Drosophila melanogaster: one gene and its partner. The protein of the gene in region 2 interacts with the protein of the main gene of each other region in a biochemical or structural test. Each region holds a gene or a part of one and is shown on either strand. Other genes may lie near its edges.

Region 1 (5,867 bases), on a different chromosome or scaffold from region 2:
TCGCTGTTTGCCAGGCTGCCGGAGTCCGCCGACGCCTCGGAAGCGCTGTGCTGGGAGTGATCCGACGATTTCCCGAACTCCATCATTTTCCGTACACACAGTGTGGCAGCAGCCAGAGCGCCAAAATATCTGCACTTCGCCTGCGCAAATGCGCTAAAAAACGGCACTAACTGGGATATTCCTTTTTTAGTTGGGGTACTCCTATATATTCGAAATTTGTTTTTGTTTGGCTTTCCAAAGTAATGCTTAATTACACGAATTTTAAGATTCAGTTTTTCTGCCTTTTCAAATTTAAGTGATATGTGCTCTTCTTATGTATAAATCACTTTATCAATATTTTAGCAAGCTTGACAACATTTTCCACGTTGACATGTCCATATATTTTACATTATAAGCTGCTCGAAAAATAAAAAAATTATATTCAAATATCAATCAATTATTTTTCTACCGCAATATATAAACTTTCCAAATAATTTAATTATGTGCAATTTTTCTTTACATATTAGTTGATAAAACAGAAACGAATAATTTGAAATTTTTTTATTGAAAACATTTTTGTAGTTGCGCTTAAAAATAGGAATGAATGAATTTGCGGTTGGTTTTGAATGAGATAAATGTAATAAAATTAACAAATACGAATGGTGTTCTTTCCCATGACAACAATTGCGCCCTCATCTTGCACCTCCTTCAGGGCATCTTCAAATTGCTCGCGTGTGATCATCTGCAATAAATTATCGTTTACATTGATTTTATATTATAAATATATTATATTAGCACTTACAATTTGGGATCCTTCCTTAATATCGCTAAACAGTTTCTGATAGGGAACTGTGAGAACTTTGCCCTTCTTCTTGAGGTTTTCCTTGATGGCTGCCACCAGATCGGCGCGCTTTTTGCGAGCGGCTGTTGATAAGCCGGTGGTGAGAATGCCCACGTCAATTTTGCCGGACAGGGGATCCGTGGCCGACTGCTTGAGAGCCTCGCGATGAAGCCGCCAAGCCTCCTCCACGTCCAGCAATTCCACCTGGTTGCTGAGACGCACCTTGGCGTGCGCCTCCGACAGTCGGATGAGACTCTCCAGCTGGCGCGGGTAAGCAGAGATCTGGCCACGACCGGCGCCCACCTTTCGCATGTCCACGTAGGCCTGAATGAGTCGTTGTTGCGCTTCATCCGACAACGTAGGCGACAGATGTTCGCGGGCATAGGCGATGTAGTCGCGCAGGACGCTCATGTCCTGAAAATTGATTGAATATGTTACAGAGATATTCCGGAGAAATACCAACAATTGATCCAAGCTACTTACAAACATGGTATCCTCCTCCTCATGACGCGTCACATAGTACAAAGATACCAAATGGCTGGCCAGTCGCTTGTCAAAGATCTCATCCTGGGGATCCAGGACCAGAAAGATTAGGTCGAAGCGGGACAACAGGGTGTGCGGAAGCTGGACGTTATCAATGATGTTCTTGCGCTTATTCCACTGAGACTCGGCGGGATTGGCGGCAGCAAGAATCGAGGTCCTCGCGTTTAGCTGACAGATGATTCCCGCCTTGGCAATACTCAGTGTCTGCTGCTCCATCACCTCGTGCAGCACACTGCGTGTCGAGTCGTTCATCTTGTCAAACTCGTCAATGCAGCAAACTCCATTATCGGCCAAAACCAGTGCACCTCTGAAAACAAGCCATAAGATTACAACCTAAATTCGAATCTGATTCAAGCTTTTAGATTTACGTTTGCAGAACCAGCTGGCGAGTCTCCGGATCTTTGGTCACATAGGCAGTCAAACCGACGGCCGAAGAACCGCGACCGGAGGTGTACTGTGATCTTGGCACGAGGTTGAAGACGTACTGCAGCATCTGGGACTTGGAAGTACCCGGATCACCGCATAACAGCAGGTGAATTTCCGATCTGAAATTCTGGCGGCCGAGAGTTGCATGCTTCTTCTTGGTGCCACCAAAGAGCTGCAGCAAGATGCCTTTCTTGATGTCGTCGTTCTCGTAAATAGATGGGGCAATGGCCCTGGCCAAGCGGTCGTAGATGTCCGGTTTCTTGGCCAGCAATTGTAGCAGCTCAACGCGTTCTGGCGGGAAGATGTGATCCTTACTGGTAGGTAATTAAAATTATCAAATTTTATTCTAACCAGTAATAAAATGCAAGACTTACCCCTCCTCATCCTCGTACAGTCGCTTGTTGTCCACCTTCCGGAAGTGAACCACATCCACGTGCGTCTTATACACACTTTTTACCGACGAACTGAGGCCTCCAGTCTTCAGTGGCGTCGCCCGATAGATGCCTGTGACCGTGACGCGATCACCAGGCTGCACCTTGTCCACCAGATCGTTGTGAGCATACAAAAGCACATTATGCGGAGTCTGTCCCGCCGCCATGTCATCTGGAGACTCCTGAAGTTTGACAAGCTGCTTATCCGTAAACTCCGATCGATTGTGGATTAAACGGAAGCAGTGGTTCGTGTTGCAGTTGGTGCAGAGCGTGGGCTGGTTAATGCGACCGCGGTCCACCTCGACGGTTGTGCTGAAGGAACAGATGTTGCAACTGAAAAAGGCTTCGCGCATCTCGGGAATGACGTTCGACGAGCGAATGACCATGCCACTAATGCTGATCAACTGGTCCATATCCTCGGGATTTAGGGATCGCATGTTGCGTGTCTTGTCCGCGTTGAAGGGGCGCACTTGAATCTGGTGTTCCAGAAGAGCGGCAGGATAACGCTCAAAGAACATCTCGTTTATGGCCATATCAAAGCCAGGAATAACCTCCTGCGGATAGCAGATCAACTGGCGGTACAAGTCCTGATCAAAGGTCTTGAGATGGGCACAGTTGAGATTCAGATAGGGCTCCTCCAATGTGTGAATCTCCTCCAGCTTCTGAAGATACAGTGGCTGGTTAACATCAATATTCTCGGAGATTTCGTCCTGCTCGGCACTGGGGTCAATAAAGCGCATAATAAACGACTTGAACTTGGATTTGCACTGGCTGACAACAACATTGGTTCCCCAGACGACGAGCTGAGGTGCTTGCGAAGATTCCGATACAGGATCGGTGGTTTCAGAGCCCTTCTCAGGAATTGGTTCGAGCTGTAAAAGCGACTAAACTAATTTGAAAGTCCCAAAATGAGTTGCCAGCGTACACTTACCCCAGAGCCCCCACCGATGGCCACCTGGCGGATGCGCTTGTCCGTTCTTATATCGGGCCGCGCCCGCAGCGGAGTGCCTCTAATTCCGGAACGAGGGGTTCGAATGGACCCCATCGAGCTGGGGGTGCCGTAGTTCAGCGGCGAACTCAGATCGATCTCGCTCATGTTCGCACCCAATCCTCGAGCCGGACTGGTGGCTGGCAAGCTGATGTTTCCCGGCGAGGTGGGCGGCAAACTGATGTTGTCCGAGGGCCGGACAGCCCTCCCGGGACCCATGCGCATGGGTGTCTCCACATCTTGCGACGCAATGCCTGTAAGCAGACAGACGCTTGCTTTGCAAACAGAACACACTTTTTGTGGCACGTCGATACTCACCTCTAGTGGGTGTGCGGGCGCCTTGTTTGGGCGTCGCACCTCCAACACTGGGCGAACGAGCGGGGCTTGACATTTCCTTAGAGAAGATATTTATTTAACCCGTGCGTCCTGGGCGAAAACTGTAGCTGTTGTGAAACAAAAAACGATGCGGTGGGACAGACCAGCTAAAAATTGGCGGGAAAATAACTGTTGCAGTGTTGAAGAATACCAATGGGTGAGTTGAGCAGTGCTGAAAATCTAACTGCAGAGCATTGCGCGCCAAATAATTGGTGCTTTCTGGGGTGTTTTGCAAGAAAAAATTCAGTTACTGTGGCATTATACAAATCTTTTTGCAAGATATTTTACTTTGTTCAAATTTAATCCATGGTTAGAACCACACATTTCTAATTTGGCCCAAACTGCACGCCCTTTGGCAACCCTGCCCTTTTGCCAACAACAAAACATAAGTCAGTCAGTCAGGCGGTGACAGGGACGGAAGTTTGTTTGTTTTTCTCACACTTTGGCGTTGCGATCTAAAAATTATCAATGTTTTTATAAATTATTCCTGGCTAATTTTAAGTAATTTAGGACAGTACATTTACATAAACCCAAAAAAAGACCACGAAAATGGTAATTTAAATAGGCTGTCAGAGCCAGAAAAAAAACGTACCACCAAGGAAATTAAACCTAACGGGATTTATGCACCCAACTCACTCCCACGCGGAGTAGGAAGAAGGAGAGGAGAGAAAGAAGGAGCGCGAAGCGGAACCTGGAGTAGGAGGAGGAGCCAGTGGAACCATGTCTAGCGAGGAGATGCTATACGCGCAGGTATTGCACAGTATATATTGATGCCCTACAAGTGCATCGTGGCAGATTGCGGCGGTGTCGGTGTCGTCTGCAAATGGTGCCAATATAAAATCGCACCCATAACGTGATTTCCCCCGTCCGAAGTGTGTGTGTGTGTGTGTGTGTGTGTGCAGGCCATTCGACAGTTCTTGGCCCTGATTTGTTCCCATGGCAGGTGATTAGCCATTGATGACTGCATCGCAGCACCCGAAATGTTTAAAAATGATTCATCTACATACAATATTCGCGGGTGTCTTATCGACAGGGGAATGGGTTGTGTGATAAGCTCGATTGATAAGACACCAGGTCGGGTGACGTCTCTAGAGGGGATCGGGCATAACTCCCATTCATAAAACTTGTTAATTCGGCTCACTTCTTTCGCAGGGCGCCAAGATCTGGGTGCCCCATGCGGATCTGGTGTGGGAGAGCGCCACCTTGGAGGAGAGCTACCGCAAGGGCGCCGGCTTCTTGAAGATATGTACGGACTCCGGAAAACTGAAAGAGGTCAAGCTAAAGGCCGATGGCAGCGATCTGCCTCCACTGCGCAATCCGGCCATTCTGGTGGGACAGAACGACTTGACCACCCTGTCCTACCTGCATGAGCCGGGGGTGTTGCACAATCTGCGTGTCCGCTTCTGCGAGCGCCAGATTATCTACACCTACTGCGGCATCATTCTGGTGGCCATCAACCCGTACGCGGAGATGCCTCTTTACGGGCCCAGCATAATCCGAGCGTATCGGGGTCATGCTATGGGTGATCTGGAGCCGCACATCTTTGCCCTGGCGGAGGAGGCGTACACGAAACTGGAGCGCGAGAACTGCAACCTGAGCATCATCGTCAGTGGGGAGTCGGGTGCGGGCAAGACGGTGTCCGCCAAATACGCCATGAGGTACTTTGCCGCTGTTGGAGGTTCCGAGTCGGAGACCCAGGTCGAACGCAAGGTGCTGGCATCTTCGCCGATCATGGAAGCCTTCGGAAATGCCAAGACGACCCGGAATGACAACAGTTCCCGCTTTGGAAAGTTTACCAAGCTGCTGTTCCGGAACCAGATGGGTGTGATGTTCCTGCAGGGAGCCACTATGCACACCTACCTACTGGAGAAGTCACGTGTGGTGTACCAGGCCCAGGGAGAGCGCAACTATCACATATTCTATCAGCTGTGCGCGGCGCGATCGAAGTACCCTGAACTGGTGCTGGGTATGTCTGGAAGCTCCCTCCTATTTCAGCTTAGAAAATGAAGTAATATTTCCATTCTCTCAAAGATCACCAGGACAAATTCCAGTTTCTGAACATGGGTGGCGCTCCTGAAATTGAACGAGTTTCGGATGCGGAGCAGTTTAACGAAACCGTGCAGGCCATGACAGTTCTGGGCTTCTCCATTCAACAGATCGCTGATATCGTAAAGATCCTGGCAGGAATACTCCATTTAGGAAACATTCAGGTTTCCAAGAAGTTCAACGAGGGCAGCGAAGAGGAGGACAGTGACTCTTGCGATATATTTGTAAGCTCACTTTC
Region 2 (4,782 bases):
CTGTAATAATTCAGCCGTGCACAAATTTTGACCTGCTATAATAATGCGAACATCCATACAGCGGATCATCTGTGATTTGCAGATGGGGCATGTCTTGTTACGCTGCAAGTAATGTAGTATGCAATTCGCTCCAAAAAGGTGACCGCATTTAATTGAAACTGGGCGATGGTCTCCGGTAACCTCATAATTCCATTTGCAAATGTAGCACTTGTTCTCTTCGGCGATCTTCTTTCGTTTCATAGACAGGTTCTCCGCTTGATTCGCAATCGCGTCCTGCGCCGCTAGCCTCAGTCGCAACTCCTTCGTTATGTTCTTCTCCTTGTCCAGTTGCAGTCGCAGATCAATTAAACGCTTTTTGGACTCGAAACTATCCTTGATGATTTCGTCCTTTTCTTTGTTCCGTTTTCGCTGCTTAATGACCTCAACGATGAGTTTTTTCTTGGTCATCTTTGTAATATCTTGTTTATCCATCTCGTTTTCGATGTGAACGATTCGCAAATATTACAGTCGAGTTTTATTTTGAAATGGATTTTTTTTTTGACAGCTGTAAATATGTTGGCTGTGTTGGAAAATGCAACACACAACTAATTCTAATGATTACAAGAAAAAATAATTTTGTTCAATCTAGGCAGTCCACGCTTAAACCTTCACTGAGAAGACATTCGTTCTAAAAGTGCTTGTCTAAAAAATTCGTTCACCTTGTAATTTTAATTTCTTTACAATATGCCCAATAACAAAGCCCAGACTCGCTCGTTGATGAGGATGCTGAAGAAGGATGTTGTTGAGCAGCTCTTAGCGGAAAGGAAAAAAAGTGAGCAAAAGGACAAGCAACTGGCGAAGCTAAATATTACAACTCAAGAGAAGGATAAAATGCGCGAGGAGGAACTCAAGCTATATTACCAAATGGAAGAAGAGATAACCAATCAGAAATTATTGCAAGAGCAGTTGTTGTTCGAGTCCAAGGACGAATTAACACAGCAGCTTGAGAAGATTGCCATCGAAAATACTTGCTGCATATGCCTGGATCCTTGGGAAGCGAAGGATCATCACCGCTTGGTTTCGCTTAGATGTGGTCACCTTTTTGGGGAGATGTGCATCCGGACCCACTTGCAGCATGCCGATATGTGCCCAATATGCCGCAAAGTAGCTATTGAAAGAGACGTCTGGCGTGTGTTATTAAACACGCCATAAAATTATTTTCTATAAATACGATGTTCTAGCTATAATATAGTGCGTTGATAAGCGCGATCGATTTAATCGATAAACATAAATTTTAATACCTCGATTATATTTCCGACTATATTCCAATTTTTTCATATTTAGGAGGGGATACAATTGAATAATTACCAAATGGTTTGGGAAACATGCATTTGCAACAATAAATTAATATAAAAAAATTCATTTAAGGATATATTGAATTCTACAGCACTAACATTCCTTTCGCATTTAATTTATTAAAATAGATAAATATTTTGTTTACCCTATGATATCAAGTATTTTTCTTTCTATTTGTAGAACTGCATCCAATATAAATTCGGTTTTCTAAACGACGTTTAAGCCGTTTATTTACATGTTACAGAAGCTTATATATAAAAAGTGATTGATTTTTTGGTTCTAATAATTGCATTCCCCGTTGGTTCCTCCTTCATTCATTGAATTGGTTTCCAAATTGGACTGGTGATTCCACTTCCTGGTCGTAACTCTCCGCAAGCTGTTTGTAAGGTACTTCGAGGTATTTCTCCGACTTTGACGCCTTGATCTCGCCCTGCTTCTTGCTGCTGTCCAAATCTGAAGCGGCAGATTCATAAAGGCTGAAGGAACTGATTGAACTATTGGCAGTATGATACGAACTACTGGAACTGGAATTCTTCGTTCGGGGAATCTTGCGTGGTTTAAAAAATTCGGGGTCTGTGATGAGGGGAAATTGTTTCCGTCCGTTTCTTATAATTTTAATGGGTCCTTCTGGTGGTTTTACTTCGGGCAGAACGGGCAGCGAATCTGTTGCCATGGACATCATTCCGAAGTGACGCATCATGGCTAACGCCTCTAGCTCATTTGTGCTTTCATCCTCCCAATCTTTCATAGTGGCGTGCTCGCCCAGCGGCCTTGTGCCTGCTATCTTCTGTATGTTCTCCATTAGCTGAAGGCTTTGCCGAATATCACGACCAGTTCCGCCTCTGCTTCCATGGATATTTTCGAGCTCGGAATTCCTCTTTTCCCGGGACTTCAGATATTCATATGTGCATTTCGGTCGCGGCCAAAACTCCCCTTGCTTCTTCATGTCGTAGGCCAGTTGACCATGGACAAAATTGAAATCCGGCTCCATGTCGACCAGATCATCCTCGAACTGCGAATTGGGAACCCATGCCATGATCGTGCGTTGTCTTAGGCGAAATTTATTTGTTAATTTTCTGACATCAGACATAACCTAAAACTCACCTAACAAAAAATACTCCGAGAACTCGCCATGAAAACAATTGAACAGCTACACTGTCAACAAGTTCTCAGAATCTGAGACTGAATGTTTACTCCGTTATTTTCAAAGAATAGTTTCAGTGCGACCATTCACCATTGAGCACGGAAATGCCGTAAGAATTATTAAGGCTGTGGTGAATTTAAGTGCACCGGTGTGCGGTGAATCTTTTGCACACCGGTGCGTGGTCAAGGTGAATAATATTGCGCCAAAAAGTTAAACAAAAGGTTAAGGAAGGGGGAGCGGGGTGCAGCAAGCAAGTCATTAAATAAACAAAGGGTAATGCCCCACGAATCAGCATATATACATTCCTAATTTATGCACCACTATTCCAACTCACCAGCAGCGTCTTTTCCGGCCAGCGCGTTTTACTGTTGTTGCTACGTCTACACAAATTTGGGATTCTCGATTTGGATTATTAAACTTTTTTAATTCACTGCTTTGCAAGACACTATAACAGCGACCGTGCTCTTATTCACACTTGGAGTAACTGAAATGCAAAAAATTCCGCAAACGCTGCTAAAATATACTTTAGTTTGCGATAGGGCTGGAGCAAAACTGGATGCACAGTGCAAGCTATCGATTTCTCCAGTAAATCGCTGATATCGATGGTTATCCGTTTCGGATCCCAAGTATCGATCGTCGAAAATCACAAGGCACATAAATTTGTGATTTCAGTATTTAGCTGATTTTATTTGTATTTAGCTTAAAATCATTACAGTATTTAGCTGTTAATATTAAATACACTTTTTTAAATATGATTATTATCCGGTACTATAAATAGTCATATTTAAAATAATATATAATTATTGACTAATTGTTTTTAATTTTCATTGAATTTATTTTTTCTTCAATAATCGATCGTAGTGTAGACATTTTCAACACACAATTTATTGAATAACACAATTCCTAAAATATACTCGTTACTCGTAGAGTAAAAGGGTATACTAGATTCGTTGAAAAGTATGTAACATGCAGAAGAAAGCGTTTCCGACTATATAAAGTGTATATATTTATATATAAGTATATATTCTTGATCAGAATCAATAGCCGAGTCGATCTAGTCATGTCCGTCTGTCCGTATGAACGACGAGATATCAGAAACTTTAAAAGCTAGAAGGTTGAGATTTAGCATACATATTCTAGAGATAAAGACGCAGCGGAACCCATGTTGCGACGCCCACAAACCGCACAAAACTGACACGCCCATATTTAAAAAAAAAATTGTTGGATATTTTTCATAATTTTATTAGTCGCTTAAATTTCTATCGATTTGCCAAAAAACTTTTTGCCACGCCCATTCCAACGCCCTAAAGCCGCCAAACCGGTCACGCCCACACGTTTGAATTTTTTTTAAATTTTTTCACATTATACAATATTTATTAATATCCCAGAGGATTAAATTTCGCGTTCGCATTCACACTAGCTGAGTAACGGTTATATGATAGTCGGGGATCTCGACTATAGTATTCTTTCTTTTTTAAACTACTCCTATACTTGTTTTTGGGCTTAAATTAAAGGTTAATTAACTAGTTTTAAAGTACTTGGGATTTTCTTAATTCGTTTACTTTACACTTTAAATAGTAAACAACTTAATGGTATTCTTATACAAATACCAAAGGGATGATACATTTTTTATCATCAAGTTTGACTTAACGTGCCCTGTTTAGAGTACATGTCCTTGATTATCTGCATGCGAGTCATTCGAGTCGCGCACAGCCAGGAGTCCTTAATTTGAAATGCCTCGAACTGCTTGCGATCTTCCTTGAAGGGTTTGTAGTAAATGTCATAGATGATGCGCAGGATGCGTTGCACATTCTCCTGCGACGGCTTCTTTGAGTGCTTTGCAAATGTTTGGTTCTTTTGCATCTTTGTGTACTTGCCATCATCCCACCAATCTGGAAAATCTGTATCTGCATCGCCAGCTTTAAGGTCCTTCTTGAGTTCCGCTTTGGGACTTATGTGATGTACAGCCTTTAGTGATAAAAACATTGTTAGGAAAAGTTCGTTTTTTTCGTTTATAGTTCTTTCTTACATCCGGCGTACTCCAACTCCAAGCCAGATCGGTCAGCGATGATTGTTTTATTTTAACTGGTTCCTCTCCGCTCAGCATTGGCACAAGAAACTCATCCTGCTGATCTTCTTCGGCAAGGGACATGGCCAACTCATCGTCTAATTCGTCCATTTGCTGCTGGACAGAAATTGAAGTGCTCTTTATGGGCAGCTCCAATTTTGTTGGAGCTCCCGGCGGTGGATCTATTGACTGGAACCATCGCAACTGGCCATCAACGTTGACAGCCTGCAAACAT

What was found.
Region 1: of the proteins of grp (region 2) and dpa, one has a biochemical effect on the other in vitro, tested with the Drosophila melanogaster proteins (one study listed by BioGRID).

The regions. Positions count from the first base shown.
Region 1 is NT_033778.4:7,496,176-7,502,042, forward strand, and holds dpa (disc proliferation abnormal), read right to left. Parts: upstream 3,971-5,867; 5' UTR 3,600-3,970; coding exon 3,527-3,599; intron 3,463-3,526; coding exon 3,152-3,462; intron 3,093-3,151; coding exon 2,164-3,092; intron 2,104-2,163; coding exon 1,732-2,103; intron 1,671-1,731; coding exon 1,304-1,670; intron 1,235-1,303; coding exon 782-1,234; intron 722-781; coding exon 626-721; 3' UTR 527-625; downstream 1-526. Other genes in the region: CG1620 (uncharacterized protein), read right to left, coding at 1-86; didum (dilute class unconventional myosin), read left to right, coding at 4,304-4,333, 4,736-5,549, 5,615-5,853. UniProt on the Drosophila melanogaster protein: Acts as a component of the Mcm2-7 complex (Mcm complex) which is the putative replicative helicase essential for 'once per cell cycle' DNA replication initiation and elongation in eukaryotic cells.
Region 2 is NT_033779.5:16,678,308-16,683,089, reverse strand, and holds the start of grp (grapes), read right to left. Parts: upstream 3,037-4,782; 5' UTR 2,814-3,036; intron 2,641-2,813; exon of another isoform or gene 2,440-2,640; intron 2,385-2,439; exon of another isoform or gene 2,372-2,384; coding exon of another isoform or gene 1,646-2,371; exon of another isoform or gene 1,437-1,645; intron 1,272-1,436; exon of another isoform or gene 1,192-1,271; coding exon of another isoform or gene 724-1,191; exon of another isoform or gene 688-723; intron 588-687; exon of another isoform or gene 472-587; coding exon of another isoform or gene 1-471. Other genes in the region: CG33552 (uncharacterized protein), read right to left, coding at 1-471; CG31807 (uncharacterized protein), read left to right, coding at 724-1,191; squ (squash), read right to left, coding at 1,646-2,371; her (hermaphrodite), read right to left, coding at 4,115-4,447, 4,509-4,772. UniProt on the Drosophila melanogaster protein: Serine/threonine-protein kinase which is required for checkpoint-mediated cell cycle arrest and activation of DNA repair in response to the presence of DNA damage or unreplicated DNA.